4 linked regions of the Drosophila melanogaster genome follow. The protein of the gene in region 2 interacts with the protein of the main gene of each other region in a pairwise test. Each region holds a gene or a part of one and is shown on either strand. Other genes may lie near its edges. The genes, in order: CG12679, mRpS26, CG14232 and CG14071.

Region 1 (7,468 bases), on a different chromosome or scaffold from region 2:
TGCCCCTGCCGCCTTTCTTTGCAGAGTGCGCCAGTGTGTGTCCAAGGTGTCCTCGGCATCCAGGGTGTCCTGGATGGGCGCATCCTTGAACGGTGACATAAGAGCGGACCGGACAGGAGACCCAAACGGGTCCGATCCAAGCGTATCCTTTTTTGCGCCAAAAGCACCAAAAATGCACAAAACCGTTACCAAACTTCGCTTCCCCTCCGCTTCAAAAGGCCCCCTTTCACTTTTGCACGACTCCCTTTTTTGGCCAGTAAAAGTGGCAGTAACAAAAACAGCAACAGCGCCCAAAAAACAAATACAAAAACAGCAACAATGACAATGGCAGTGGCAATGGCAAAAAGAGTAGAAACTGAAATAAAAACAGCGACAGGGAAAACAAAAAACTTTTACACTTAGCAGACTAAATTGTCTACAAATTTAGTTAATTTATGTTATTTATTTAGTTAGTTATCGCTTCTGCCCGTTGCCAGGGGGGAAGTTTCAACTCGAAGTTGGGCTGCTGGGGGGGTGCACATTCTGAATGGGAATCTGAAGGATAAGGGTTCTGTGTTCTTTCCGGAGCAAAAGGTACTGAAGCCTAATCCGTAATGATCCTTTAATTGAGGCTAATTGGCATTCAACACAACGAGTTTCCCTATATTTTGACCAACAGTGCATATTTGCAAATGTTTCGGGTGATTTACTTTTTATAGTTCATAGAGGCCTTTTGAAATGGACTCCACGCTCCGCAGACTGACTGATTCGACAGATTTCTGTACAGTGAAGAGGGTTCTTACTACCACAATCCCATTGGATCAATACCACTTAATCAATAATTCTTGTTCTATAAACGACAAAACGAAAAGAAAAACATAGAACAACGCACTGTCAACAAATGATTTGATTTTTTTTGTATTATTATTCGTCATGATATAAATATTGTGGCCACGACCCTTCAGACGCCCACAACCCGATCAAGACTTGAAATTTCTCGTTGATTTACTAGCTAAGAAAAAAAGGTAGTCTTGAAAATAGCGCTCTTACTTTTATCTCTTTCCTAAAATTGGTTCCCCTTAAATCATAGATATCACACTCCAAATTTGACACCCAAATTTACTGTAAAAATCTGTAAACTTTAAATTAATTTTAAAACAAGATAGCCATGTTTTTTTTAATTGAACCCATTTCAACCCCAAGAAAGTAAGACCCTTTTCCAAAAATATATATGAACAAAACAATCAGGAGAAACGCTATATAAGATAAGAGAAGATATAGATATAGATAGATACGATATAAGATATATAAGATAAGATATATAAGACCGCCAAAAGAATCTGCTTGTCTAGCTTTTAAAGTTCACGAGATACGGACATGGCAAGATCGGAGCCGCTTCCTTCTACCTACATACTAATTAATGGAGAGACGGCTAGAATCGAGTGTCGCGACTATTAGATACCCTTTGCTCACATAGTTAAGCGCTATATGGCCTTGCATATTTTTGACAATTGGCTTTGACCCGTTTCGATTATATTTATTTCTCATCTAGAACCCCAACCGGAAGTACCACATTGATAGCACAACTGATCATCAAGATGCTGATCAACGCAGCCCGTTCCACTTCCCCAAACATAATCCCGAAAGAGTGGGAGCCTCAATTCCCCCATAGATCCAATATGGTCAATCAGTCAACCCAGACTAAGTGTGCGCCATGGAATATGGTGAATGAGTCTACCCAGTGATGCCAACATTCAAGTTCGCCTGATCGGAACGCTGAAAGGACTAGAGCGTCCTTTAGACAAGAGATGACAGGAAGTAATGGCCCTTCCTCGGGACCTCTTATTGGACCAAGACACATCACATTCCGCTCAAGATGACAAAAGGGAAAGCCTTAACCTATCTATAAAGGAACCGACTGCATATTAGCATTGGCCACATTGTGGCGATGCGATGGACTACATTTAGGATACCCAATCGAAATAAAAAGGGATATGTAGAAAAAAAACTTTCATATTCAGAAAAATGTCTTTTTTATTGGAAAGCTGATTGTTTGTATGCCAACCAAAATAGGCAGAATAATGAATAAGTCATATACCCGTCACTCGTAATATATATGCGTAATTTTAACCATTAAAAACTGAAGGGACACCATTGTAATTGCAGAAGCAAAATCTGTTCTGTTACACATTCAGGCATCATCATACCTTAACTCGCCGATATGTATGTACATATATATTATTTACTGCCTAACGTTCTTCAGACAAATGGTTATGCAAAGCGAAGATATTTGGGTATGTTTTGTGGACGCAAGCTTAAAGTGGCACCCGCATTTCTTACCTTGCACCTACCCCACTCCCTTTGCGACCCACGCGGCGTATGAGGAATGCGAAATTGCTCATACCGCCCGTGGTCCCGCATCTGAGCAACTGGGTGACAGTTGATTTGCCTGTCGGCAATGGCAGTTTGGAGCCCAGAGTCCGGAGTCCGGAGTCCGTCGTCCGGAGCACTACAGGCGGCACTGCGGGCACTGCAATTACGGCGACTGGAGATTTTTCTAAGAAAACCGCACAAGGCGACGACGGCGACTGTGGCGCCAGCATTCCAAAGTAAATTACAAACAAAAATGTTGCAACGAAAACGAAAACGGAATCGCACGCGGGCCCCAAAAGCGGAAACCACAACAGCCAACAAAAATGTAAACAAGGGCGCAGAGTCGTTGAGGGGAATTTCTTCGTTCTTCATTCTGTGGCGGAAAAAACAAAGATCCAAAAGAAAAGGGCAGAAAAAAATCAAATTGAAAATGAAATGCAGGAGTGTGGCGGTTCAAGAGCTTTGGCGGCCAAGCGACTGACGTCGTCTCTCAGTCTTTCAGTCCTCCAGTCGCCAAGGAGTGAACATCCATCCACCACCAGCACCGCCCCAAGGAAGCGGGCCACACCACCCCGCTTCCGTGGCCTTGCCTTGCCTTGCCTTGCTTATGCAATTTGGTATGTGTTTCCCAAGAAACCTTTGTTGCATTATTGCCGCAATTTGCTGAAGTGGTGACGTGAGAGCCATCACAGTGCTGCGTCCACGAATATTGCCCCGTCCCTTTCCTTCTCTGCCCTCCTGAGTCCCTCGTCCTGAGACCCCAGTCCTTCGTCCCTCGTCCGTCGTCCGTCGTCCTTCGGCCCTTGAACCGCGTCTTTTTCGCGCTGCCCCTTCAGCCAGACAGCGAACAAATAACAACTAAGTTGGCAATTTGAAGTCGCGCGAGTGAGTGAGGCTAGTTAGCCGCAGCACACCGAAGTCTGTATACCCTTGACATGGTTTATGGCTTATATAGTAGTGCTATATTGCTTATTCCTTTCTCATTGTAGATTTGTAATTCATATCCCCAAACTACAAATCCCTAGTGCCTTGTATTCAATGATAGTTGGCTCAACCAATTTCAAATGCTGATTCATCATCTTGGCTTTATTTCGCGAACCGATCAAATTTAAGTTTTAGCAATTAGCCCTCAGTGAGTGCGTAGGTCATAAGGGCCAGGATGCCGGTGTTTCCCAGAGTCTCTACAACGTTGCTAAGGCCCTCGTTGCAGCTATCGACAATTGCACCGCCGTATCTGGCGAGGAGCGCGGTGGCAGCCACACCGAAGTAGATATGGTTGCCGTCCTTGATGGCCAGATACAACGTGGAGCCGATGTTGCCCAACAGAGCGAGGTCCATCAGCGTCTCCGTGGAGCTGTCCCAGTCCTCGCTGATCTTGCCGATCATGTCGTAGAACAGTGGAATCAACGACAGGCCGTGCACCAGCGCCACTCCCGACTGATCGGATACCAGGTAGAACTCGATGTTCGCCAGTGGCAGCGGGATAACCTCCAGTATGATGGCTGAGATCATAAAGGTGCGTCCGCACTCGTCGGGCTCGTTGGCAAAGGAGCGAACCACGCCCAGCACTCCGTGGACCAGGCTGAAGGATGCCGCCAGGAAGGCATACGGATGGTCCGCCGGGGTCAGTGAGGTCATCGTGTAAATGCAGGCCAAGATCAGCAGCAGATTGACCAGTGCCCCCACCACATGCATTTTCGGCGCTTCTCTTCGTTCCTTCGAGAATTCTATCGATTCTGTCAGTCTGGTATCACGATATGCGATTTCACTTATTTGTTACGAACACAGGAACTAAAAATTTTGAAAGTTGCTACCTTGAGACTGGGGTCTGGAATGACTGAATCCAAATGACTCCCACTGGCAGAACATTGAAGACCGAGTCCAGGCCAACTCTGTTTAATCGATTTATCAACTCAGTTTTGCTAGATAAATGTTTTGAGATTTAAAATGGCCATATCATAAGCAATACACAAATGTATCGGGTTCTCGTTCTTATTCAAATACTTATACCTTTTACCTTTTACGACATACAACATGAGAATTAAAATGGCTACAAGGACTAACAATCCTCATTATGAAGTATGCTTGCATACCCTTCCTTCGTTGCAATCATTCGTTGTCTAATCCAAACCCACTTCAAATCCCGAAGTTCCTGAACCAAATATAACCAATAACCAAGCCAGTGCAGCCAGTATGCCAAGGGGACAAAGGCTGCTCATCGCCAAAGTGGCTAACGTTGGCCACCTCAGATTACGACCAGGGATGGATGTCGGCAGGGTCACTGAGTCACTCCCGGCTGAGTGGTTAGGGAGGCAGCATCAGAACATCGATCACAACACCTGAACGAACGCAGTATATAAATAACCAATCTGGATTTTGATCCGCACAAAGGACGGGAGTGGTAACCCCCAAAATCCCGAGCGCCCTTTTCGGGGCTCCAACGCTTCAATAAAACTGCAAAGTGCCAATTACAAAAATAACAAGTTAGCCCCAAAACTTATGTTGGCTTTCCGACTTGCCGTTGTTTCTTTTGCTTTTTTCCTTTATTTGCCCCGATGCATTATTAAGTTTATACCAAGAAATTTCCCGCACTGCATTGGACGTGTGTGTGTGGTTGTGTGTGTGTGAGAGAGAGTGGCATTTAGCTGGCAAGGACATTTTCATGGTTTTCCAGTCAGAGAACTGCAAGGGTGGCACTTTTTTACCACTCGACTCACACCCTACAATTTTGTGTGCGGGTGCTACTCGCCACGCACATCGCGGGTACTTACAAACACACAGTATAAATCTGAACATGCAGACAAGACACCCCGTTGTGTGCGCACCCGAATCAATACGGTGTTTTGCGTCGCGGGTGCCGCTCACACAGTGCCTAAAAAGGGATGAGTGAGAAAAACACTTGTGGGTATACCGTTAAACACATGGGTGTTTCCAAAAATACTCGGGTGTTTCCAAAAATACTCGAGTGGTCTCGTAGGTAGTCGAGTCAAATGGCGCCATACATAATGATTGTTGAGTTCTTGTGTCTTTGGTCCAGTGTCTCGGCTGTTAATTGCCCCTTTTTTGTTTTTTACGATGCAATTACTAGCTTGTTAGGATTCAGTATTATTTGGAAGCCAAAGGAAAAGGTCACAATAATGGCAGAAGCGGCTGATTTCGTTAAAAATAAAATTAACAATGGAACATACTCAGTTGCCAATAAACATAAAGGAAAAAGTGTTATTTGGAGCATTTTATGTGACATTTTAAAGGAAGATGAAACTGTTCTGGACGGATGGCTGTTCTGCAGGCAATGCCAGAAAGTGCTCAAATTTTTACACAAAAACACCTCCAATTTATCCCGCCATAAATGTTGTCTAACATTAAGACGACCAACGGAATTAAAAATTGTTTCGGAAAACGACAAGAAAGTAGCTATTGAAAAATGCACCCAATGGGTTGTCCAAGATTGTCGGCCGTTTTCTGCAGTAACCGGAGCCGGATTTAAAAATTTGGTGAAGTTTTTCCTACAAATCGGCGCTATCTATGGGGAACAGGTAGACGTCGATGACTTACTACCTGATCCAACAACATTAAGTCCTTATATTTAATAGATACTTTTTAAGCCCACTATGTTTTTATTATTTAGATTGAGACATTAAAAAACGTAAAAATCAACAAATGCCGTCTTTAATTGCAATTACTTTATGTGTTTGAAATGGGAGGCACCCATTGAGTCCATCAAAGAGCAAAGACATGAGCACAAAAATTTTCTTGGGTATTCCCTTTTACCCTTCATTTCTTATACCCGTCACGCTTCCACCCATACAAATTTTAGGCGTACAAAAAATGACCAGAGAACTGCAGCCCGCATACAAAAAATGACCTGCGGCCGATCGTTGACTGTGCGTCCACTCACCCATACGGCTCTTGCGCAGCAGGCCTCGGGTGGTTTTTTTACTCGTAACAAAAACACAACGTCGGTAAAACACTCGAGTATTTTGTGTTGCCGCAAGTAGGGTGTCAAAAAAAACGGGGTGCCTAGAGTACCGAGTGTTTATCGGGTGGACGTAGAGTGCGAGTGGCGGGCTGCAGTTCTCTGTTTCCAGTTCCGTTTCGACAGCAACTTTTTCGTAGCATACTTTTGCCGGCGCATTGATTGGCCCCGAGCATTCGTTGGACTGGCAGCAGGAGTCAACTAGCAGCTAACTTGATCCATCTGCAGGCCTCCAGCCAAAGTGCAGGATAGTACTGAATGGATAGTCCTGAATGGATAGTCCTGAATGGATGGTCCTGGATGGTCCTGGGTGCTCCTTGGGTGGTCAACTCAAATTGACTGCAGCTGGGTCCACAACACGAAGAACTTTTGCCATCGCACCCCAAAAACAATGCCGACCAGTGCCAACTTGTATTGCCGGTGGTTTAAGTTCGGGGGTTCGGGTTTTGGTGTTCTAGGGTTGGGATTAGGAAAAGGGGTAGGGAGAAATATTGACGGGGCCAAACTGTGGCATGACCAACGAAAATAATATGAAATAAATTCCAATAGAGCAGCCGAAGAAGAATGAGAAGTTGAGTGGGCTCGAGCCGGGGCCAATTGGGGATTGGGATTGGCCGAGATGAGTGGCTGGACAGGACCTGGAGCAACTGAGCTGGGGGGGTGTGTGGTGGTGTGGAGGCTTTTGGGGTTAGGCTTTAAGAGCGGACTGCAAAAGGACCGGCGAACAACAAATCCGTACAAATTGAATAAGAACTCAATCTTTGCTACTGTGCGAACAACTTTCTTGGGCGGCCAGCAGGACGAAGAGTCCTGTGAACAAGGCGGAATGATAAAAAAACACAAGCACACACCCAAGATGCGGAAAAACAGAAAGTACAAACGCAGTAGTGGAAATGGTTCGCCATGGAGGCAACTCTCTCCGGACTCAGGAATACTCCCTATTGATGTTGTCCTGATGTAAGTCAAATTCATATTGTTGTCGGATTTTAAATATGCCTTAAAAAATACCTTTAAAAGAACTTTATACATTACATGCAAAAATATACCCTCTTTAAGCGTTATTCGAATTGAAAATCACGAAAGACTTATTTCTTTAGACTTGACACAAGGCAATTGAACACGGCCGAAAAGTGCACAATT
Region 2 (7,939 bases):
GGTGTATCGACTCAGCTTTCCCATTAACCTCAAAGGAAAATCAAAGAATTCTGCGGAAATTCTAGCCCAAAACTAAAGGACTTACGGGGAAACCAGAACCCAGCGACTTCGGTCGAATTTTCGAGGTGACGGGCGGCGCGAATGGAACGCCATGCCAGCGAAGAGGATGACGGTCACCACAGCAGCAGCTTCGACCATCAGTGGAGCCAGTGGGTCCACCACGAATAATGGTCAGTCTGGTGGCGGTGCACGCCCACTGGAGACGCTAAACGGAATGACCAGGCTGACCCCCGCCCGCGACTTGACCCTTGGTGGGCGCGGCGCTGGGACAGCCAGCAAAAAGGTCTTTGCTCCCAATTTGAATGCTGTGCGCAATAAAAATGCGTGAGTTGTGGAATGGCCCAGGGGGAGTCATTCTTTTCATCATCTCATTTGATTCACAGCAATGTCAAGACATCCAAGGACACCACGCAGCCAAGGAGCGGCCGCAGAGGTGGACGTGGCAACGGCACTGGAGCAACACGTGGTCGAGGTGGAAATTCCGCTGGCGGGGGCAACTCCACGCTCATCCAAACCCAGGGACTCTTCTCCGAAGGAGCAGGCGATGTTCATGTGCGAAGGTCCACAGGAAATGGAACGGCATATGCACGGGGCGGTGAGGAGGTGTCCGTGACCAGGAAACGGGTGGATCGCAAGGACGACAAGAGCCAGGCCGAGCGGATCAAGGAGCTCTTGGGCGAGTCGGACGCCAGTGGCGGCGAGCTCAGCGAAGAGGAGGCTAACAAGACTGAGATGGCACTCAGGCCCATCCTGCTAAAAGAGGGTACGTTTTACAAGCACTTTTTGATGCACACGGGCAGAAGAAATTCATGCTTTATTTGTTTATAAACGTTAGGACTCTGGGTCACCCAGAAGACACCGATTGCGAAGCAAGAAATCGCCAGTTCAACCTCAACACTTAAGGGTAAGGCGCTAAGCTTTAAAAATGGCATAATCTAATTTGATTTCGCTCCTAGACACTTTGGCAGTGGCCCAGCATTTGCAACAGCTGCATGTGGCTGCCCAGGCAGCCAGTTTAGAGGAACCTCCGCTGCAGTACGGTCGCTACCCACGCACCATTGGTAACTTTCTGGACTCCAGCGAAGCGCAGATCTTTCTCATGCAACTGCCAGATGTGTTGCCATGTGTGGGCGACGATTCCGAAGATCCGGAACCGTCTAAAGGAGATCATCAGGCCACCAGTGAATCGGAACCAGCAAGTCCTGCAGACAAATGCTCAAACGGACCCAAGGGCAGTGTACTACGGCAGCTGGAAGAAGGGCAGATCGGCAAGATTCTGAGGTACAAATCCGGTCGCGTTAAACTCCAATTGGGGGACACACGCTTTGACTTGGATATGGGTCTCGATCCGGGTTTTCTGCAGGAACTCATGTCTGTAACCGCCAATCGCGAGCAACGTAGTGGAAACATGATCAACTTGGGACCCATTCAAGCCAAACTAAAGGCCACTCCAGATTGGGTGCACCTTTTCCAGCAGCAGGATGCGGCATCCAAGCGAACGAATCCAGTACCGGGCACGTAGCACCCACTTCCCCATGGTAGATATGTAATATAGTAAATAGGCTGCGCCTAAGCTTAAGTTATTCCTATTCTAAATGCCGTATATAAAAGTTAAATATAGAAATTTTTATAATACAAATGCTTTTCAAAAGGTTATTAACAATTGTACTCGAATATGGAACATAAAAGAGACTCCAAGAAAGATGGGCTTGGAACTTGGGGATATGTAACGTAAATTAAGCCATCAATACTTAATGCAATGACCCAAGATTAATTTTTAGGTTAATGGATTGTTGATATATTATATGTTCAAATTAAGTGATTATTATAATTTCAAATACGGTCTTAAAATTTGAAAAGTATTCTAGTTCTAGCAAATCGCTTTACAATAGCTAGGTTATCCAATTCCTATTCTTTTGCGCAAATCAAATATACTTAAGTGTGTTGTTTATTGTGCAGAAAAATAAAAAAAAACACGGACTTTCAACTTTGGTTAGAAACCTATAAAAAGCATTTTAATGTAACAACAAACTAAGACACTGCATTAATTAATTACTCAAAACTTGCTGGTTGGGTTCGGGAGTGGCGTCCGGGAGCTGAGAGGTGCTTCGTCCGTGGTAAAGATTACCGGCCATATCGATGGCGAAATTGTGGTCCACGGGATTGGCCAACGCTGTCTCAATGGCTGCATCCAAGTTTTCCCTAGTGATATAGTTCTTGGAACGCTCAATCTCGAGCAGCACCCGCTGGTTGGCCTGCTCCTTGCGCTCCTCCTCGCGCAGCTGTTGTGCCTCCAATCGCTCCTGAATATAGGCCACCTTTTCCTCACGCTTCTTGGCCAATCGCTGATCACGCTCCTTGGCTATGGCAGCGTTCCAGGCAGCATTGGCATCCAGGCATTTCTGGAACTCGGCCTCCTCCTGCTCGGGAGTGAGCACGATGTGATCTGCTGTGGATGTTTCCTCGTGGCGGACGACTTCCTCCCTTAGAAACTGACGCACTGAGCGAAGCTGCGTTCTGAAATCAAGGCGTAGATTGTTTTGTATAACGTCTTTTGAAACCGATTACAAATTATCTTTGACCAGAGACAGAATCTGGCGCTGGTGCACGCACTTGTACTGGTTGTGTAGCCTCATGAGCTCCGTGCGCTCCTCCTCCGACTGCTTCTTGCGTTCAGGCACGCGGAACATCTTGCTCTTGGCCACCGGCAGCCATCGCGGTTTCCTGCGCCAGCGGACGAACTCGAGGGCGAAACTATTTCCGACCGTCTTCCCGGTGGGCAGGGTGGACTGCGTCAGCAGCTGGCATCCCGCTCGCAGCATTATAAAAGCAGTTTAATTAACAAAATGTAATTTTTACTTTGCCGCTGCTGAACTGTTGTGCAACTCTGTTGTCGGTGAACTGGTTCCGCGCAGTTCGATTGCTGGTTCCGTCAGTGATGACCAATATGGAAAATCGAAGAATCAAGGAATAAATCAATCTTAACAAATCAAATTCAGATAGAAAGGCAATAGTAATTTGGTTGTCAACTTACTAAATTTATTGTCGTACATATTCATATTAAAATATAATTATATACTCAGCTACATAGATATATTTTTAGGTACAGCTTAATTTTGCGTTGCTAACAAGTTTTTGCAATTAAATTGCGCAGGTTATGAATGTTTTTTATTTGTCCAAAGATACAAGCTTTGAAGTCCAGACAGATCTGTTGTGAAAATAGCCAAACTTCCAACGCACTAGTGCGTTTCTCACAATTGCGCTGCGCTCAGCTCGGGCTTAAAAGCTTTTGGCCAGGTGAACTTGACGGGAAGGTACGAAAAGTAACTGCTCACTCAGTCGACGATATATCGCCGCGCTGGCCGCATTAAAATCCGAGCTACGGAACTTCGCTGTTTCGCCTCTTGTACGTGGGCTAACTTAAAACAAAAGTGGCTTGCGCAGCCGGCGCGCCTTGAAAGTGTGTGTGTGTTCGTGTTTAAAAAAATAGTGTGCGTTATTGAAAAGCTAAGTCAGTTAGAAGCAGTGTGGAAAGTGCATATTGTATATATCTCTTGCCAAGGCTAAAAGTGTTAAAAGTTAACTCCCAGAAATGCACACACGCATACCGATGCAAGCGAAAAGTTAAAGCGACGATCATTCATTACTGCGTCTTCTTCTTATTCATCTGCTCTTTGCGACGTGTTTCGCTTACCTGTCCAAAAAGCCCGAGTATTGGTGGGCTCCACAGCTCCATAGCTCCCTCTCTCTCTCGCTCTCTTTCGATTTGCACATGCAAAAAGGCAGCAGCAGCAAGAACAACAACAAAAACTCCATCTGAGAGCTTTAAAGCCGAAGTTCTCGACGCAGACGTCGGCGGGAGCAGAGCTTCAGCAGCGCAGCGGCAGCGAACAACTCGTACAGGTTTGTTGGCATTTTTTTTCACATTGGCTTTTGATTTTTGTTTACCTCTGATTGGAATGGCAATTCGCACTGGTTGGACTGTAAATATTGTCTCATATGTGTGTCTCATGTATCCCAACCGCTTACCACGCACAGAATCGAATCGAATCGAATTGGATCGCTTCGTAGCTGGAAATTCTTATAAGGCGATCAATTTTGCATATCGAATTTGTTCAATTGCTTGAACTGCACGAAACAGGGGTTCTATTGTTCTCTTTTAATTAAATAACTAAAATGGGTAATGTAGACTTTCCTTTTTAAAACTTAGTGCCTTAAAATGCCACATCTTCTTTTCTTATAATTTAATTAGTGTACCTTAACTGTACGATTAAAAGTTTACTGCTCTCTAATCGTTGGAATGTTTATCTTATGCAACTTTTTCAATCTGTTTACTTTCACATTCTCCAGCATTTAAGATAAGATTTTATATCTAAAAACGTGATTTAAACAAGATTAATACAGAAAGAATGCAAAGTTGTTGGATGATAACGACAATGTACTAATCTAATTCCCTTTATTTCAATATAAATACTTAATATTCCCAACTATTTAGGTTAGCTTCTGTGATAGTTTGAAATTACCTATCAAATTGTGAGCTTAACTTATTTAAGCCAGTAAATTCCCGCTACACAACTTATTTTCCCACCAACATAACCTCGTTTGGCTTATCAACAACGCTCATTAAAAATTCCGAAAAAGAGTTGCAACTTCGGGGCACTGCACCACGCGACGCAGAAGTCAAAAGTCTTGCCTTGAACGCCTGAGCAAGTGCAAAATCTGCTTGCTAATTTATTTGCCCATCTCCAACCTGAGGTCTTTGAAAATCTAAACACAAAAATGTGTAGGAAAATAATTATGCCAGCAGCAGCAACAACATCAGCAAGTAAAACAGTTTAAATGACTTTCAGTCACGGCAGCTCAGCAGGTGTTGGCTAAAAGGGGGAAATCTGGGGAATGGGCGCTGACTTCAACTTAAATATGCAAACTTTTTCCGCGCTTGGAGAACATTCGCAAATTCTGATAAGAGTTCCCCCCAACTGTAAAACCTAATTAGCAAATGTTGTGAGGCAATTAAACCAAATTACAGTTCTCCTTCTTGCCCGTGTTGCAAGTTGAAAGGCAAGTTGAAGAGAAAAAACAACAACAAATTTGTCACAAACTGTCGCAGTGCGGCTTTGCACTTAATTAAGAGGAAAACAAAAGCGAAACGTGAAATTCAAAAAAAAAAAAAAACTTATAAAGACTAGCGCAAAAAAATTTGTTTCAAAGTAATCAAATATATGCAACGCATGAAATCTTTTCAAATTTTAATAATGTTTAAGAGTATAACTCCATGTAACCAGTAGAACAATAACTAGCAAATTAGTAATAAAAAAACCCTTTTCTGAATTCTAAAAAACTAAGAAAATTGCAGCACTTAAGCTAAATCCCTTTACTTGAAGTATATTTCCTGGTCATGTCATGAGTGTTTTTTTTTTTTAACAATCTTAGCCTGCCATCAGAGCGACCAGCCAAGCGAAAGATTGACAAACTATATTTACGACTCCCTTCTGATGATCTCAGGCAAATGATGACAATCTGACACGCAAGGGAATCCATTACATTTCGTTCTCGCAGATAAGAGCTTCTGGCAAACTCGACAACAACCTGCCACATTTAGATTCTCGTCTGACGAACTGACCTCAAACTTAATTACCAACTTAGCCTTTTTTGGCCAACCGAAAAGTGGGTGCAGCCCATGTGACCTAATCCTGACCGAGTTGACCTATTAAGCTGAGGAAAAGTCAAGTCAGGGAAGGGAAATGAGGACATTCGAGGTGGGATATGCTTACGTAAAATTAGCTGTAGCCCCAAAGTAAGCGAAAGTATTGGCCTGCTCAATGAACGCTTTATTCTTAGCCAAGCGTTTTACGTGCTCATAAAACTGGGATAATAAAAAGTTTCCGAGGCACGACAGAGTTGTGCCATTGGGTCTATTTTGGGGACACCGTTTTATGTATTGCGCCCTCAAGAGCAAATTAAATAATAAACAATCGAATTTGGCAATGTGGAAGGAATACGAAATGGTTGGTTAAACTTACAATATGAATCTTGTTTAACTACGAAAACTATGATTGAGGAATATCTCGTTTGAGAAAATAATGGCAATCGATTACCATATATTATATCTGATTGTCATATTTTAGATACACGAATAGAGATAGTAATCTTCAATAAAAAAAGATAGATATTTCTTTGACTTTTTGCATCTCAATAGAATGTGTATTCAAAAGTGTGTTACAGGTTTAGAGAAGCATTGCCAAACATAAACAAATTTATATTTTATTATTTTTTATTTTATTATTTTCCTTACAAGCAAACCGGAAGTCATTTAAAATTTGCTTGCAGAGCAATAGGTATATGTTAGTCGAGGATACAGTTATGGCGACAAACCTTTAAACTCAGAGATGATAACTGTGGACAACTGTATCCATACATATTCTACAACATTTTGTTTCGAGTTTATTACAAGTCTTGACTTTTCTTAGCCTTGGCTCGCGTTTTCTACCAATGATTTTCCAATGTTTTCATTTGGTTTCATCTTTCCTTTATGTACGATTGGAGGTGGTCACGTTTGGTCGTCTTATCTCTCAAGTTACTTATCAAGTTTTGAGGAGTGGTTCGGGTGAATGGTTTTAATATGCAAATTGTGTTTCTATGGAACTGGTTATAGTTGATGTCGAAGAAAAATATCGTTATTATTTAATGCTTTCTAACCATTTTTGAGGCTTTGGGATGCTTTTTCATCACATATATGCATTTATTTAATGAAGCATAGGCAAGTATTTTTAGGAAATATACTTTTTTATTGTATTTATGAGTGTATTAAATAAAACTAAAGTTCAAACCTGTGGCTCATTCCCCATCGAAATGAAAACTCGGTCAAAACTCCACGGGCCAAACATTTCTCCTCTCAATTTCTTCTAACTGAATTACAAAATAAATTTCGTTTTCAATGCTCAAAAATTTGAAGAAAAACAACAAATAAAACCGGTTTTAACGGTTAAAGAAGCAAATACGCACACACGCATACAAGAAAAGGTATTTCATCTACCAAAAAAACCAAAATCCAAAGTGAAAAGTAGGTGACGTCAAGCACCGTTAGGTCTTAAAAACTGAAAACTGGTCGTTGGTATTGTTCTTCTTCTTATTGTCTTTGCTGCACAGAGAACAAAAATGCAAGAACAAATTTTTTATTATTTTCTTTGAAATAAGAAATAAATAGGAAAGAATTTTAAGCAAAGTGAGAGCGAATTGAATTTATTTTTACATTAAAATTTCCTCTATAACATATTTATATTAACTTAAGGAAAACTATAACTTACATTTATAAATTTAAGTTTTTAATTTTTGTTTGTTCCAAACTGCTGTTTATTTGCCTTTTTTTATCTTTATAAACAGACAAAAATGTAAACATTTCCATGTTGTTTGCGTGTTAAAGAATTTTCGTTTGTTGTTTGGCGACCACGCCCATCGGATTTTTCAACTTTACATAATGTGGGCAGGTCGACGGCACTGCGTTGAGCGGTCGAATGGGGCGGGGGGCGTGGCAGTGGGAAATGGGGAGCTTTGGTTGAGTGGCCAAATAACGTTGGGCATGAAAGCAACAACTGCGCAGACGCAGCAGCAGCCGCAACAACTGGCGACGTCACACTTGCGTGGTCAGCTTTTAGTGCATTGCCAAGAGCGAGAGAGGAAATCGGTTAGAAGGAGAAAGGGAGAAAGAAAGGGTTAGCGAGCAACAAGCCTTGGTTATTCAACAGTGGGTCAAACCAGTTACATAAATCATTTCAATTGATTCTTTTGTTAATTTTAAGTACATGAACACAGTTTCTCGAAATGGAATTTAAATAAATTAAGAAGTTTAAAAACATAGTAAATATTCTTTAGTGATGGT
Region 3 (9,311 bases), on a different chromosome or scaffold from region 2:
CGCCGCTGGCCAGCAAGCAGAGGAAGGGGTAGCCGATCTGCTCCGGATGTTCCATGCGGGCCTGCAGCGCGTGCGCCTCCATGTGGTGAACGGGCAGCAGGGGCTTCTGCAGGCGACGGGCCAGGTGCCGTGCAAAGCGCACGCCCACCAGCAAACTCAGCGGCAGTCCGGGACGCGTGGTCACCGCGATGGCCGTCAGTTGGTCCGGCTTCAATTGCGCCGCCTCCATGCAGCGCTGGTAGGCGGACTCGATGCGGGCGCGGTGAAGGTCCTGGGCCCTGGGCGGAATAATGCCTCCATAGCTGCAATCGATTCAGTTCATCATTGGGCACCGCATGCGGAGATGTGAGCACTCACCGGGTGTGGAACTCCTGTTGCGACTCCAGCACATTGGCAATCACTCGGCCCGTGGTGTCCACGATGGCGATGCCCGTGTCGTCGCAGGAGGTCTCGATGCCCAGGACATAGCTGAGCCGGCGCCTGATCCCACAGCCAAATACATTTGCTATTCCATTGCCGGCAAAATTACGAAGTGCATGCATAATGGCCAGTGTGACCAGGCACCGATAGAAACCACAACCAGCAAATCGTGGGACCGTTAGTGTTAGGGCCCCTTACACGAGCCAAATTCTTAACTATACTTTAATGCAATTTTTATTTAATATAAAATAATAATAATAGTTGTTTCAATGCCCAAAATTGGTAATAGCAATTGTGTCGTATGAAGAAGTTTCCTAAGTGAATTTTACGAATAATTTATTCTTCATTAAGAAGCAAAGAGATTTCGAAAAGTGATTATTTACAGTTGTCTTTATATTGTTTATTAGTTTCAAATTGAATTTTGGACTTGTCTTCGTCGGTTACAACTAAATAATAAATAATATTGGTTTAGTCTGAAATCGGCATGGTCTTTTCCCGCCGCTTGTTTCCCGGAATTGCAGCAACGCACACGTAAAACCAAAACCTCACGCACACGCACATACAGATTATTCCGGACTTGCACATTAGCCGTTCGTACGGAGATAGGATTCATCTAAGTTAGTGGTAAGTAAATACATTTTGGCCTCTTAACGCTCGTAGTAGACGCGGTAGTACAGCGTCTTATTGCGCCAGATGCTGTAGCTGTTGTCGAACTTCAGCAAATAGACGCCCTCGCCCGGATAGGAGTGGGAGCCCACGTAGACCTCGTTGTAGCACTCCCGTCGATAGATCGGTACGATAATGGAAATGGGTGCCTTGGGGGCAGCAGTCGGGTTGTTAACTGCGCCGCGCTCCTGCGACAGCGAGCCGGACTCCAGGTCCTCGGTGGTGGATAGGTAGTCCTCGTCCACGCAATCCTCGTCCTCGTCGGAGTCGCTCACATGCACGGTCACCTCGTTGGTCACGGGCTTGGCCCACTCGAAGTAGATGCCGAAGCCGATGTCGTAGCTGTCCGTGGCGAACTCCCAGAAGATGCACTTGCCGTTCATGTTGGTGGGCACACGGACCTGCAAAATTGTGCCGGTCAATATGGGCCTTGTTTCGTCATTAGTTGATTGCCACCTACCGTCACCGTGTCGCCGTGTCCAATGGTGATGACGCCGTCCCCATCGCCGGCGGACACCTCAGTCTTAAACTGCTCGATGTCGGGACGAGTCCAGATCTTGGCCGGGCAGATCATAACGTAGTCGTCGTACTCTTCCTCGCCGTGCTGTTCCTGCCCAACGCCCTCCAACGTCTGCTCTACATGCCCGTCTTGCTGCTCGGCCAGCTGCTGGTGCTGCTGTGTCTCGACCTCACCGAGCTTCAGTCCCTCCATGGCGTTGGGCAAGTCGGTTGAGCTGTTGTTGTTATTGCCAGGGACGTGTTCTGCTTCCTGGTGTCCCTTGTCCTCCGTGTTCTGATTCTGATTCTGGTTCTGGTTCTGCAGATGAAGCTGTTGCATGTACTGGTGATAGTGCTCCCGCTGCAGCTGGTGGATAAGCACGGCCTGCTGTTCGGGGTTTCCGGGGAACTGCTTCTCAGCGTACAGCTGTGGAACGAGTGTAAGCGTTAGAAGGGCCAAGTTAATGGTACAGGAGCTGGCATGCAATTGCCTGAGAACTGGGTCATGACCCCTTTTCAATGGCAGACAGCGCAGCCAAGGCCGAGCACCCAGTAATTATCATGCATTATTTAGCACAACAACAGGTGCAGAGGGCCGGGCCGGTGTGTTGTTGAAAAAATCGATGGGCTACCTTAAACTGCTGGTAAGTCTGCTTGTTGAGTGCGTCCTGCAGCTGGCGGCGCTGCAGCTCCTCCTTGTAACCCTCCTCGAGCAGCTCCTGCTGGGCGTTCTCCTGCCGCTCGCGTGCCTCCTTCTTCTCCTCCATGAGGCGCAGCTCCTTGCGCAGCGTCTCGTCGCGGTCCTGCCGCACGGCCTCAATGTACGGCCGAAAGGCGCTGCACATTGTGTCCAGCAGGTCGACGAACCCCTCCATCGCCTGCTCGCGCGTTATCTCACCGAGCAGCTGCCAGTGCTGCTGCCGGTCGCGTCCGATCACGTCCAGGACGCCCAGCGCCGGGGCGCGACTCGTGTTGAAGGGGCCCAGCGCCGCCTGCTGCTTGAAGGCGATCAGCTTGAGGTTGTCCTCGTACGACAAGTGGATGGCCTTGCCGGAGTTCCCTGCAATATGTGAGATTAGCCGTTATTGGTGCGCTAGTGCCGGGATCTCTGCTCTTACGCTTGTAGAACGTGAATGCCAGGCGGTAGAGCTCAATCAAAGGGAAGCCCCACTTCTCGGCCGATGATGGTGCCATGTCCGTCGACTGGGCCGTTTCACTGCTGCTTGTGCCGCTTGTCCCGCTCGCCATGCTGCCGTTGTTTGTGGGCTAGTCCACGATTGCTGGCCTGCAAACTTTTCGCACAAAACAAAACAAAATAATAGAATTTATTGTGACGTCTGCTGCCAGTGTGACCAGCCAGCTGCGCACCTAAAGTAATTGTATTGCTCGCCTTGCAACACTGACCGATGGGGATTATTTTTGTCTAACTTAATGTATTTGCCTATTTACAAAGTTGCTAAATAAATTTGAAAGCTGGTTTAGTGTTGCTTGGACTTGTTAAAAACCTGTATAAAGCAATTGGGAATTGGAATTGTGGCTATATTTAAGTGTAAGTTTTTATCTGCCCGCGGTCACACTGGCCCACAGCAATTCTTGCCGGGATTTGGATTCTACACGTGCATTGCAAGCGTAAACATAATATGGGCAGCACTCGGTTCTTCCTGGCGGATCTGCCGACCAGGACCTCGGAGTCGGACCTGCAGATCCTGTTCCAGGACTACGGTCACGTAGAGCACGTGGATCTGAAGCGCAAGGAGCAGGATGGGGCCACTAAGGTGATTGCCTTCGTCACCGTGCAGACGGATGATGCCCAGTACTGTAAGTTATCCGCGGAAGATCACAGCCAGACGGAAGGAGTAACCATAGCTTGGTTTTGTAGGCGTCAACGAGCTCAAATGGCAGAAGTTGCACGGCGAAAAGCTAAGAGTTTCTCTTGCCAAAGAATCGTTTTTGGATCGACTGAAGCGCGAACGCGAAGAGAACCAGCGCCGGGAACAGGGCGAGCCAGACGAGTCCGAGGTGCGTGCGCCGAGCTCTCAGCTCCTGGTGCAAAGTGGCCAAAACAAGCGCAGGGTATTCGGAGAGGATGAGGAGATTGGTGATGATGAGGTCGCTCCAGAGCTGCTGATTACCAAGAAGCGCGCCGCCAATTCCATGCACAATGGCCGGGTATGCACGCACTCATTGTTCCCAAGCTCATTGTCAGCTAAATTCCTTTCCTTTCCTTTCCCACAGATTGTCATCCAGCAGGAGCACGACGTGAAGCCACTCCATGTCATCGAACAGCACCGCAAGGCAGCCAAACAGAAGCCGGACGCCAATGTCAGCCAGGCGGAACAGAAGCGCAAGGAGTCGCTCAACAAGATGCGTCAGGGACACCAACAAAAGAAGTCAGCCATCCAGCAGGCGCTATCTGTGATATCAGTCGAAGGCAGTCAGGCAAAGAGAATAAAATTCAGCGACGCCGAGGAGGAGGAGGCGTCCAAGCCCGTCCAGAAAGCCAAGATACAAAAGCGGGATCTGTTCGAGAACGACGACGATGAGGAAGAGGAGCAGATCGTCCTGCCGCAGCATAAGGGCAAGAAGGGCGAGCGTCTGGTGGAGATGCAGAGCAAACAGAGTATAGATCCCCGCTTCCGCATCACATCGAACTTTGTGAACGAGGAGGAAGAGGCGGAGCTGGAGGATCAGCCTGAGCCGGAGGAGAGTGAGCGCAAATGGCACATGAACATTCTGGAGCAGGTTGTGGGACACGCGATCACCAGTGCGAACGATAAGGACGGTAAGTCGCCAAAGAACAAAAAGATGCTGCGCTTCGATCCGGCCAAGGAGGGCCATCAGAAGCTAATGCGCCAAAAGCAGCCCAAGGAGGAGGAGGAGAAGAAGGAGGAGACTTCCAGTACGAAAGCCAAGACCGCCGACGCGGGCAACAGTCAAGCTTCAGCCGTCTCGAAGACGGCCTTTTACATTGTCACCGACACGTTGAGGGATTCGCTGAACACGCGTGGAGAGGGTTTCAGCCTGCTGGACATGTTCGGCAGTGCACCGGAGAAGGAGGTGGCCAAGCGCCAGGACCAGTTGGAGAAGCTGGGCCATGAGAAGATCCTGGTGGGCAAGACGTCTGCCAATAAGCTCGGACTGGCCACTCTCAATCCGTTCTCCTACGACTCGTCCGACAGCGAAGACGAAACCGAAGTAAAGCCGAAGCAAGAGCAGGAGCAGGAGCAGGAGCTTGAGGTCAGCAAGGAGAACAAGGCCCAGCCAGCGAAGAAGTCGGGTCAAAAGAGGAACAAAAACAAATTGGAGTCCTTCTTCATACCCAGAAACGATCCTCGTCTCAAGGGTAAGAACGTGAATCTGTGCGTATTTTTTCATTCTCAACAAGCGATCGTCTTTTCTTTGCAGAGGGCGCCAAGTTTTTCAAGTCCACGAAGGCGGTGGTTGACCATGCCGAATATGACCAAGTGAAGAACCGCCTGAAATTGCTGATCACCAAAAAGATCGCCAAGGCGAAGAAGAGCCTGCCCAGCAAGGATATCAAGCTGCAGCGGAATAAAAAGGGAAAAAACTGATCTAGGTTAAATTATACCCTTAGTCTTAAGCATAATCCTGTGTAAAATAAACCAATATTGTTCTTTTTTTTTTTTGTAAATGGTACATGTATTCATCTAGATTACAAAAAAAAAAAATGAAATGTTTGTGCTTTAGTTACTGCACAAATGCATTTGAGCCCCGTTGCAGCTCCAACTAGATTATCGTAGCGGTGTGAATCCGGCTCTGTTGAGATTCATTCGGCATCCGCTGGTGGGATTCCGCCTAACTAAAAGCTAATTAAGTGAATTAAGATTATCGCTTCAACAAAAATTGCGGCGCTTAATATTCAACATTGCAATTAAGTTTCATTCGTCCGCTAAGCACTTGTGTAGGCTCTCTAAGTAAAAATGGCAATCTCAACTGAAATTCGAGACATGGCTCTTCTTTGGCACTGTATCCTCTGCCGCCATCCGGTGAGAGGAGTGGCGGTAGGGAAGGGTTATATATATATATATGTATGTAGGTAGAAGTCTTAAGTAGATCTAGCGAGTAGTGGATGCATTATATTCTACGTCTGCCTGCCATCCGTCCGTTCATCGCCGCCAGCCTTTGGTGTCAGCTTGGCCAGCTTGTCCTTCACCTGAACATCGTCACCGCTATCGCCGTCGTCTGGCACCTCAATGGCGGCATCCTGATTCGCGACGGGAATGGTGCCGCTCCTGCCTGTCGCAATGCCGTTGCGTTCCGGACTGGTGGGCTGCTCCTGCGTAGCTGGCGGCGCTGCAAACTGAGCCTCTGGTGGTGGCGGAGACAACGGTCTGGCTGTCGCTGGCGCGTTCTCTTTGGTTGGATTAACTGGAAACGTAAGTGCCCGCTTTACGGCCAGCGTTTCAATGGCCACAACCGTGCGCTCCAGCAGGTTCATCAGCCGGTCCTCGCGCGCATCCATCCGCTTGAGGAGCTCCTCGTCCCGCTTCTCGCGCCGCTTCAGATACTCGATCAGCTCGTAATTGGTGCTGTCGCCGTCGGTCGAGGTGGACATCTTGCGCTTCTTCTTCAGCGTTGTCGATGAGGAGCAGTCGGACAGGATGTCCGTGTCGACGATCACATCGGGGTGCAGTATATTCGCATCCATGCCCGGCGAATAGTAGTTCTGCGCTCTGTGCAAGCATGGATTTGATCAATGGAATCGGTTTCGAAGAAGGTGGCTTCCGTCGCCGCCGGCACTCACCCATTGTAGTTCGTCTGCATCAGCTGGATGTCGTCCGGATTGAACTCGCCCTCCGAAAGTGGCTCCGACCTGTGGGCGGCAGAGAAGCGAGAGTCTTAGGCGGGATCTCGAGAACGGGGCAACCCGATAATCGATCTGGACTTTCCCCATTAACAATTAAATGGACACCATTACTTTTGAACTGATAATTGTTGAGTAAAAAGGATTTATTTCTTAACTTTGTTTGTTTGATGAAGTGAAGTCAGTCTATCAGTGAAGTGAAGTATCTTTTAGGTTTGTAGTTTGCAGTATATGTAAGTAATCCCTAGAGGATCGGAATCGGCATCGAAATTTAGATTTTACACTTAAAGTAACATCTTTAAATTGAATGGAAGAAACATAAAGTAATCTATATTCTCAATTTCACTACGATTTTCAATCTTGCAACGAACTTTTTTGTCTTTTGATTGCGAAACTGTTGGTGGGCGTAAGACTGGGCGTGGCAACGTTCTGAGATTTAGTTACGGAAATATCGACGGACAGACAAGAGCCTATAAACAATTATATTTTGGAGATTGAAAACCCTTCCTCTGTCTATTACATAGTTTACCAGAAATCTATTACAACTTTTACTCACTTCATTGATATGTGGTTCTCGTTGTGATTGTTGTTCTGGTGGTGCATGTTGAGTGCTCCATTGCAGTCCTTTTCGAAGTCGGGTGCTTCGCCAGAGTCGTCCATTGGCGCGTGGCCCAAGCCGAGGCCGTGGCCATGACCCAGGACGTGAAGGTGGTTTTTAAATGCTGGCCGCTGGGGCTCATCCTCGTCGTCGTCTTCGGGCGTCATTTGAACGCCGCCAACGCTGGCCATCTGGAGCTCATGTCGCTTATGGGCGGCCACGGCGGCAGCGGCAGCAGCTGCCTGAACCATCTGCATCTGGAGGGGATTCTCGTCGAAGCCGCCGGCGGACATGCCGGATACACCGGATGCGGAGCCACCGACCGGGCCGGCCACCTCGCTGAGCTGCGCCTCCACAAAGTGATTGGGCAGGAAGCGGTCCAGCTTGCTCCCGCTCTGCGAGGAGTCCGTGGAGTGGGCGTGCGAGTGGCTCTGGCTCTGGCTCTGGCTGAGGCTCTGCAGTAGGCTGTGCTGGTGCGGGGTGAGGTTGTCCTTGTTGAGCAGCACTCCCAGCTCGGCCGCCTGCCGTCGGCGCTGGTAGTAGGATAGCTCGTTGTGGTTTTTGGTTATGAGCGCCAGACGCTTGCCATTCGATCCCCAGCACTCGCCGCGCTGCTCCTCGATCTCCTTGAAGAGGAACATGTACGGCCAGTTGCGGCGCACATGGCGCTCGGGATTCTTTTTCAGCTGCGTGTAGATCTTCTTGAGGTTCTCGTACCGATTGCAGCACTGCTTGGCCGTTCGCTTCCGCGCACTGAAGCGGTTGAGCACCTCGGCGACCATCTCCCACACGCTGGCATGGTTCTTTCGGTTCGACTGGAACGCGCTCTGGATGCGCTCCGACTTGACGATGTTCAGCAGGGCCACCGACTCCGGCACGTTGAAGTACGATTCCGGCGTCCGCGGCGCCCGCTGGTGGTGATAGCTGCTCGTCACCGGCGGGGGATTCTTCGTATCCTGCAAGGATATCCAACAGGATAATTTAAGGAAAATAAGAAACAATTGCTACTAACAATAAGATACAAAAAAAAATATATAGATATGATGATAATAGTGATGTGTTAAATTCATTATTATTATTTAGTTTTAATAGTTAATAAATCGTACAGGCGTTTACAACGTTGAAAAGCTCATAAAAACCAAGTTGTTTCGTTAAGATTTTTATATAGTATGTATGTATGTACATACATAAGGCATCTTAAATATGATTCATATGGTAGGTAAATTATAATCCAATCCAATGTACAAAATAAATGATTAAATAATTAGAAATAACTATGGACCGATGTATCGTATATATCATAAATATATATATATTAATTTTGATATCAATAATCATAAATATTTTTTAATAAATTTATTACGGTTAATGGTCAAAACATATGCAGATACTTATATGTATTTACATAAATCTTTTATAAATAGCTACATCTGTGCAGTTAAAGTTTGTCACAATTATTTCAATGTACACACATACATATATTTCATTTCAATTGTATATTTCAAACGCATGGTATGTAAATATACCATATAATATATGAACTACAAACATTGTCTACTAGATCCAAGAAAATCAGTAAGATTATGTTTATCTATATCTCTAGCTCAAAACATCGATAATATCTCCTGAGTTTTCCAAGAGATACATAGATGGACATGCCATTATGATCTTGACCAGAAGTTTTTGTGCATCATCGTGCTGATGGCCAAAGCTCATTCATGCCGTCTAGATTCTACGAAATCTTTCCTCCCGCGGCAGAGATGAGCTGCCGATGATGACTAAGCGCGGCGAAATTTGTTTCGCAGATATTCACGGATTGTCCACTACCGCAGATAGCGATCCGTGCGGAGGCTGTGGCGTTCGGATCGGATCTGCTGCACTTCCGTATCTGGGAGAATCTATGTACATGCATGTACATACTATATGTACATACAGTTTGTCAAGAAACTGTTTACACACTGTAAGATAAGTTGAATTTTTGACTTTAAAGCTAAAAATAAAGGGTTTTTTGCTTAATTAAACGCAATTTTTTTATAAAATATAATTAAACAATATTTATTTTACTTATAAATCAAAAAACAAATTAAAAATATTAAATATACAAGAAAATAAACAACAAATTCCAAGTTTACACACTTTTGGGACTGTCAAGAAACTCTTTACACAAAACACTAAATCAAAGTTTAATCCTAAATTTTAAAATTATTTTATTAAAATTTTAAAAGTTTTGGTATGTAGTATGTGCCCTATTGGCTTTAGCTACAAGTTGAAGCCTTTTTTTCATGGATTGGACAAGTTTTTGCA
Region 4 (8,028 bases), on a different chromosome or scaffold from region 2:
GTCGCTCCGTAATTCACTTCGGCTTATTAATTAAATCGCATCAAATGGGCTCATCACTCATCGCACCCGGCCATTAGGTGGCTTTAAGTCGCAAATAAGCTTTAAGTAGCCACTCGTTCGAGTCCCCACTGTGCCCCAGAGCCCACCGCCCAAAAAGCACCCGATCCATCTGACACTGTGTTCTGGTTGCGCCCCTAACAACATTGTCAACATCGAACAAATCGCTGCCATCAGTTCTGGGTACATTGTTTAAAGAACATTTTAAAATTCAGCAGGAGCAACGGACCGCTTATGTACATGTCCTGTTTGCCTTCGCTCTGTATATTATTTCATACGCACGCTTCTTAAGCATGGCAATAAATTTTCGTGCGAAATTTTCATATGCGTCGCCGTCAGCCACGCCCTCATCCTGACCCCATCCGCCCATCCTGCCATCCTCCCACAGGATGTCCGCACATCACGCGTCCTTGCGGCTTCACTGGGACAACGTGGCATTCTTGAAGGCGCTGCTGTTTGGGTTGCGTGCTCGCTTGTTTCGCTTTTTGTAATTTTCAATTTAAGCAGCACAACGTGTTGCTCGCCAACTTGCCACATTGCCACACGGCTACACTAAAGTAAATAAACATTACATTCATAGGTCTTATTCGGGGATCAGTGGCGGCTAGTCTTGGTTTTCTACCCCCAGAAAGCTGATCAATAATCAATTTGGAAAAATTATATAATTTAGCAAATATTTAAAATCAAATCAAATATATTAGAAGGCAGATTTCTAAGTGTACTGTGCCCTGTTTTTACCACTCCACGAGCATTTTGGGCAGCCATTTAGTGACAAATTAAGTGCCGTCGTATGCGTGTTAATTTCGCAACTCTTAGCAAATGACGCATACGACACGTGTGCCCGTGGGCCCAGCTTAGTTGCAATTTATTTGGCGTTATGGGCTACAAATTGATTATTTTGTTCTCGGACTTTATGATCCCTATTACCGACCCTTCAAGTGCCGATTTATGAGCTCAGCAATCGCATTCTCGCCTCGCATTTTATGCGACAGAGAGTGAATTTATCGCCCTTTTCCGCGATGACCTTAAAAAGCACACAATGTAATGTAGTTGCCGCACGCTGTGCCCTTTATGATTGCCACAAATCGCATTATGACTTAATTTTTATGCCGCCGCGTTCATAACCTTTATGTAGTGTTAAAAGTACTCACAGTACTGCCATTCCACGGACCACATTAAATATTTAATTATCCGCAATGATCTGCAGACGCAACTTGTTGCCGAACACGTCGTACCTGTCACCTGCCAGACCGCAAAATTGCCACCTGCCAGCCTTGCACTTCTCATTGTCACTTGTCTTGACCATCTGGCCGGGTGTTTGGTTCATTGGAGCACAGGGATCTGTGGATCTGGGGCTTCAACGCCACGCCGAAAATTCCTGCCCCACTTGCCGGCTGCAAAGTGCAGATGCTGCTGCTCGTATTGAGCCATTAACAAAATCCCAGCGGCAACAAATTGCCTTTCCACCGGCAACCAAAGATGGTTTCAATGAAGTTTGAAAGTGAATAGGGGTCTGCTATTAATTGTCCTTTGGAGACAATTTGGGATTTTTTCAAGCATCACTCATACTGAGAATGTTTCGAGGAACTTGACTATTGCGTACTGCTGCATTGCTAATGGGTATACCTTCAGATACTTATATCTTATACCATTGGCTTTATACAATCTTTGTCGCCCCAAATGACTTCTTTCTGCATCCACATGCTGCATTCACATGATGGCTGTGCTGCGCAATTACGCAAATTAGCTAAGTGAAATTCAATACACTTGGCCAGACCTTGTAATGGAGGTGATTCGAGGTGGGAAAGGGGGATGGCTAAGGAGGTATTCGGGCGCATATTATCATGCCCAGCCTGAGCACATGTAATTGCCATTAAATTGATGTGATTGAATAAGCCGCACAAAGGGTTTTCTCGTGCAAACCACACACATTCAACGCCAGCAGAATGGGCTGAGAATATGCAAGAAAATTATAATTTAGCACCTACGAATTAAATACAATGTGTGACAAAAAAATGTAGAGAACAAGGCTTACAAAGACTTATCTTTTCTTTGCGTAGATAATATATTTAGTTTCTTTTCACAAAGAATCCCTGCAAACAAATAGTGTGTTCAATTTACTATTTACTTACATTATATTTGCTTTATTCTGTCCACTTTTTTTTGTTGCCATTTATTTGATTTATGTGTGTAGCGGCTGTAACCGGGGTGTTTTTTTTTTTTTATTTTCCCCATTGTTATTACATGGCACAAATTTTCTTATCTCCAACCTTATCGGACTGACCGTATTTTATGCCTGTGGTGGCATTTCTTGGTGTGCCAAATGTGTTTGTTTGGCAAGCAAATTGAAAACAAATTGTACTACATGAATTTAAGCAATCATTTCTTTTTTTGCCACTTATATTTGTATGTGTAGCATTGAAGTATATTCGTCAATTATCAATAGAAAAATCGGTTGCCTGGTAATTACAAAAAAAATATATATATTCATAAACGAGTATAGCGGGTCAAATCATGGTTGAAGTTTTTGTGCCATAGTCCTTTTTATGTTCTCAAGTTACAAAACCCATGGTATAGGGCTTCGAGGCGAGAGCCTTAAAAAAAAGGCAACGCTGATGGGTATAAGAAAAGAAAGTTTAACACTTGCTCATACTTCTGTTTATTCAAGGTTGGCTTAGAAACGCAAACAAAAAAAAAAGGTGACCGTCATTTGTTTTCTTGACACTTTTGAAGGCTGCTCAACAAGAGGCGGCTTAGTCTTTTTTTTTTCATTCTTTCTTTCTTTTTCCTAAAGGGTTTTGTGCCAGTTTAAACATTTTCTTATACTCTTCGCATTTTTGCATAATGCTATTCTCTTGGGCGACCAAAAGGGTTTTGTCACTAAATAAGTCGCAAGTTGATATTAATAACATCTCATTATCGCATCGTTCTAATTTTCAGCGCTCAGATGAAATATGTTCGCAACGTCAATTTATCATAATGAAGACAAACGACGAGAAAGGATGACCTTCAAAAAATTATTATCCAAGTTTTTAAGTTGTGGCACTTGTAATTGATGAGCTCAACATTTCCAGATTGGCTGGAAAGCGATTAGCGCAACGAGGGAGTTTTAAAATGTGCTTTTAACAAACAGGAATCAAAATTAAGTAAAAATATGAAATACATCCGACATTTTTCGAACCTTCACAAATGCTTTGTTAGTGCGAATTTTCCAATTGACTGGGATGAAAGGCAATCAGAGTCACAGCGGTACAGACCCAAAGTGTCTTATTTTCGGTTCACTGGCCAGAATGGTCGAGATGATTGACTTCATGCAAATGTTCTTGTTAAGACCCATGTCTGGTTGGGAAATTTGCATTTGGCTTGTTTGACCAGTCTGGCTGGCACGGGAATAAAATTGAAATTGTTACCTCGTCGTCGAACGCTTCAATTTAATTAATTAGAGTACAGGACAGGGCCCATAAGTCTGGCTTTCTTCAAATATACCTCGACTTCCTTCTCAATTCTCCGACTATTAATGTTTAACCAAAGCAAAGTAACAACAAATATGCAATTGCATCCTTATACATGTAAGCGCAGACCATTTTGTGGTCCCCTTGGCAATTAAAGTTACAGTTTGGTATAGAATTGTTTAAGTTTAACTTTATCCAAGTAGAATTAATTTCTTATGTTTCTAAACATTTTGGGGTTTTATGTAAAGTCAATATATAACATATGCATTTTTGTTTTGAGCTGTAGTTTACTTAAATATATTCAGTAAATGGCGACCATTTTCAATGCACAGGAAATTCCATAAATTTTCAAGCTTCAGCTTTATCGATCCGGCGAGTCTATATATTTGCAGCGCGTTGACACCGCCAGACGCTCGGCATTATTGAATTTATGCACTTAACGATAGAGTCAGCAGAGTGTAGCTGCTGCCGCAGCGGATGCTGTTTCCGCGACGGCAGTGGCAACATTGCGTATACGCAATTAAATTTGCAGTGTCTTCTGGCTCGCATTGGATTGTCTGTGCGCGAGTGCATAAAGAATTACCGGAAATGAGATTGTTGCGGCTTTAATTTCACCCAAAATGATTTAAGATGTCCAGCGGAATGTGTGAATGGATTTCGCGTTGCATCGAACGTGGACTTCATTATCCAAAAGTAACACATATTTTACTGATTATCGACGGCACACGGGTACATATGGCAAAGCTGGAGAATACAAATACATGTTTACATAGCCCTTGCAATTTCGAATCATTTAACATACTTGCAAACTTTACTTGCACATTAAATCGAACTGAAATTTTCAAGATACACATATGTAGAAGTACAACGTATGTAATGGTTAAATACATATCTTCACATTGAGGCGGCTGCTGCCGATTCCTCATTAGCCACTGTGATGGCCTTTTCAATGACTCCCTTCAGCTTCCTGATGTCCGCATCCAGGTAAATAAGGCGCTCGTACGTGGCAGCCAGCTTGTTGATAATGCTACCGAGGTGATTCCTCAGAATTTCCTGCAGCTCGTCCTCGTTGGGAGCAACGAATGGCTGGCCACTCAAATTGCACTGGAACTCGTCCTCGGCCAGCGCCTCTGCCAAATTATCCTCGGTATCGTCCTGCTGCTTGCGCAATCGGCTCAATTCGTGATCCAAATCAGATCGCTCGATGGTCATGGCCTCAAAGTCGGCCATCTTTTGATGCAGTTCCGGATGGAGTACCACGCCCGGATTGATTAAACGACCAAAGCCCTTTGCCGATCTGGACATTGCTGCACAGTGTAGTTACGCCGTTGAAAGGAGTTTGTGGTTTTCTACGTGGAGCAGTATTTGATTTAACTTAGCAATAAATTTGTTCCTTAAATCCGAACAGTTTCTAGCTACCTACTTATGATTGGTAAATATGTGTTGCTGGCGTCCACTGAATACTCGAGAAAAAACAAAAAGACTGTAGTTAAAAAAGGAAATAGATCATTACATTCAAAAATTGTTTAAGCCGAAATGCATTACGAGTAGATGATAGCAGAAGCATTGTAAACTATCATTCAAATAGTTATTTTTCGTACTATCTCTTTTTAGTGGACAAGAATGTGTTGAAGTTTAAAATTTTCCACGAGTTAACGGCACAAAGATATAGTTTCTTTTTGTCCCTTCTGCATTTATATGCTAATCAAAATTTGGCAATCAAGGGAAGCTTTCTGAAAGAGAATCTTGCCATGCATTTAAATAACAATAACAGCGGTCCCTTTTGAGGTTCACGTGTATATTTGAAGTGGAGAATATTTGGGAATATATACAACTCAGGGCGCGTGTCCTAATTAATAAGACCACCTCGACGCCATCATTGCCATTTGAGCCCAGTGGATTTTTGCTCCTTTTTTTTTGTTGGTTACAAGAATTTCCCAGCGGCATTTCGCGAAATGCAAAAACAACAAGCACCGAAACACAATGGACAAAATGATGAAAAGAAACAAAGGAGGATAGAGATATCTCATTATGGACAAAAGCAGGCCAAACGAGTCCAAAAATAAAATGAAAAATTATGCAACCGAAACAAAAAACAAAAAAAAAAAAAACCCAGCTGTCCTGTTTATCCTCCTCGTCCTTGCAAATCGACATCCGCCCCTTGACCAGTCTGCGTATTTCACGAATTTGTTTACAGCTCTCGACGCGGAGATCCTGGCTTTGAGGTCCTGCGAAACACGCGTGCCGAAAATAATCAAAATATAATAAGCAGACTCTTCAAGGCGCTGCCAAATGAGGCATGTAATAATTTTTGCCCTGCCCAAATTCCCAGTCCCTTTCCACTGGCCGTAAGATTTATGGTGCGTAGTTTTGTGCTCTGATTGTGAGGTAGTATGAGGGGTATGTTGTTTCATTTATTTAGCAAACAAATATTACACATGTATTTATTCAAGACCAATGAATTATAATTACATCTACACTAATAATTAATATGCAAATTTGCATTCGAAACTGGTACCAATTATAATAATGAAAATACATATTAAATATATATTAATAAATATATCTTTGTTTTTTTGCTTAAAAGTATTGTTAACAATATCACAATGATTTAAAAAATGGCTACCATTTTTACTATCTGATATCTGATCATCTTCGACTTTTCCGTTTTAAACTCCTGCACGGTATATGATATTCGGTAGACTCGATTTTCGGACCAGCCCCGTCAAATTAAGCAATTTCCAACTCAGTTATGGAAGTTACATTTTTACGAGTAGTTCACAAACAATTCTATCCACTTGGATTTTTTCATTTATTCGTTTGCTCTTGGCTTTGCCAGCTTAATAGGCTTTGCACACTTTTAGGTTATCTTCAGTCAGTCAGTAAGCCGGCTTACTGAAGGATTTCATGGGGTTTTCTCCGAACATTTCTCTATAACTCGCCCCTTAAAATGCCAAACAATGTGATGAGCAACAGCCATTGGCATCTGCCTACAGTTATGCAAATCACTTGCGGGAAAATTTAGCTTGAGTAACTTCCACTTCTTGCTTGCGCCACAAGGTGGTCAGTTGAAAATTGCGAACGGAAGGATAGGCTTGGATATTCGTCCTTGGGAAATGAAGGAAATGGGGGGGGGGGGGGCTAGAATGCGTGCACCTAGTTTGCCCTAATTTCCGCTTTATTTGGCAAATATATACGTTGCCGGTCGAGTGCTTTTTAATAAGTTAGTTGCCCGACATTCACGCTGCTCTGTTTTCATCTCGTCGCTCTGTGTGCTCTCGCATAATTAAAAATGTACACACGTGCGCTCACAAGGAGACCGACCACGTGTTAGGGGGTCTGGTGGGTGGGAGGTTGGGTGGTTGGTATTCTTGTGGTTTACCTGCGGTAAAGGATGATAGTAAGTAGGGGGAAGGGTGGAGTCCGGACTCCGGACAGGTTATATTTACTTGCCGCCCAGCTGCCTCGCTGAAAGTTAAAATACAAAAAACCTGCGCATCATCATTGTTGCTCGGGGCGTATACTTAATACTCAGCAGCGGAAACCAGGAGATGAAGTCGTCGAGTAAGCTGAAGAGCTCACGCGGAAACTTTTTGTTAAGAAAATAAATGGGAGCTCGTAACATAAGACAGACTTAATAAAAACGTAGTAGTAGTAATCTTAACTATTGGAAATTTAACACGTACGTGAACAATTTTCATTTATATTTAAAATAACATTCAGATTACTTAATTATATATTTCTTATTAACCTAATTAAATTCTATTTTGAATTAAACCCTTTTGGTGTGACAGGTAACCGTGGAATTGCAATAACTAAATGCATCAAACACATGTTGCCCATCTAATGTTCAATTCAACAGAAAAATTTCGCACGGAAATTGAGTAAAATGAAAATCAAATGCGCACAAATATCTACCCAATATGTTTGACAAACATTTGGCTGGTTTGGATTCAACGATGGGAAAAATGAAATTTGGAATATATGAAGGTATGCGAAACTCACAGCGCAAAAGATAAAAAACTAACGAATTTTTTTATGAAACATGCTGCTATGTGTTGTTTTTTATAGACGCATTCGCATATAGTAGATAGTATTTTTTATGAAAATCCGGGTAACCTCTTTTTTTTGGTGCTTAATTGGGGAAGTCTGCTTTCGCGGAGGTGGCTGATATTTTGAGGGTTTTGTGAATTTCTGGTTGAAAATCAATTAAAATCGTTATTCAATAATTGCTTGCATGCAAAACCAGTTGCAGAAACAAATGCCATTAATTAATTTTAATTCTAGCTGGATGGTTGGCTGATTTACCAATTGAAAGTTCATTTCAGCTGTCATTTGGCGGTTAATTGTGAAAACTTGATTAACATCGGTTAATTGACAGTTTGGAAACGGTTAAATAATTGTATTTTTCTTCATTTTAATTAATCAAATTCGTAAAACAGCTGTTATAATAGATTTAATTAACAACTTGCTCATTTTAGTTTGTTTAATTAATATAATAGTAAGTGTTTTTTATTTG

The links.
Region 1: the proteins of mRpS26 (region 2) and CG12679 interact in a two-hybrid assay, tested with the Drosophila melanogaster proteins (one large-scale study listed by BioGRID).
Region 3: the proteins of mRpS26 (region 2) and CG14232 interact in a two-hybrid assay, tested with the Drosophila melanogaster proteins (one large-scale study listed by BioGRID).
Region 4: the proteins of mRpS26 (region 2) and CG14071 interact in a two-hybrid assay, tested with the Drosophila melanogaster proteins (one large-scale study listed by BioGRID).

What each region holds. Positions count from the first base shown.
Region 1 is NC_004354.4:20,372,346-20,379,813, forward strand, and holds CG12679 (uncharacterized protein), read right to left. Parts: upstream 4,178-7,468; 5' UTR 4,048-4,177; coding exon 3,475-4,047; 3' UTR 3,419-3,474; downstream 1-3,418.
Region 2 is NT_037436.4:18,101,605-18,109,543, reverse strand, and holds mRpS26 (mitochondrial ribosomal protein S26), read right to left. Parts: upstream 2,966-7,939; 5' UTR 2,883-2,965; coding exon 2,674-2,882; intron 2,578-2,673; coding exon 2,109-2,577; 3' UTR 2,045-2,108; downstream 1-2,044. Other genes in the region: Polr3D (RNA polymerase III subunit D), read left to right, coding at 152-384, 444-823, 896-964, 1,017-1,582.
Region 3 is NC_004354.4:19,701,187-19,710,497, forward strand, and holds CG14232 (uncharacterized protein), read right to left. Parts: upstream 3,074-9,311; 5' UTR 2,953-3,073; exon of another isoform or gene 2,877-2,952; 5' UTR 2,833-2,876; coding exon 2,703-2,832; intron 2,645-2,702; coding exon 2,217-2,644; intron 2,012-2,216; coding exon 1,547-2,011; intron 1,488-1,546; coding exon 1,068-1,487; 3' UTR 802-1,067; downstream 1-801. Other genes in the region: Tcs4 (Threonyl-carbamoyl synthesis 4), read right to left, coding at 1-302, 358-542; CG14230 (uncharacterized protein), read left to right, coding at 3,225-3,402, 3,464-3,753, 3,820-4,927, 4,990-5,156; meso18E, read right to left, coding at 5,687-6,278, 6,350-6,418, 6,966-7,963.
Region 4 is NT_033779.5:10,883,965-10,891,992, forward strand, and holds CG14071 (uncharacterized protein), read right to left. Parts: upstream 4,964-8,028; 5' UTR 4,815-4,963; coding exon 4,404-4,814; 3' UTR 4,312-4,403; exon of another isoform or gene 4,305-4,311; intron 4,254-4,304; 3' UTR 3,681-4,253; downstream 1-3,680.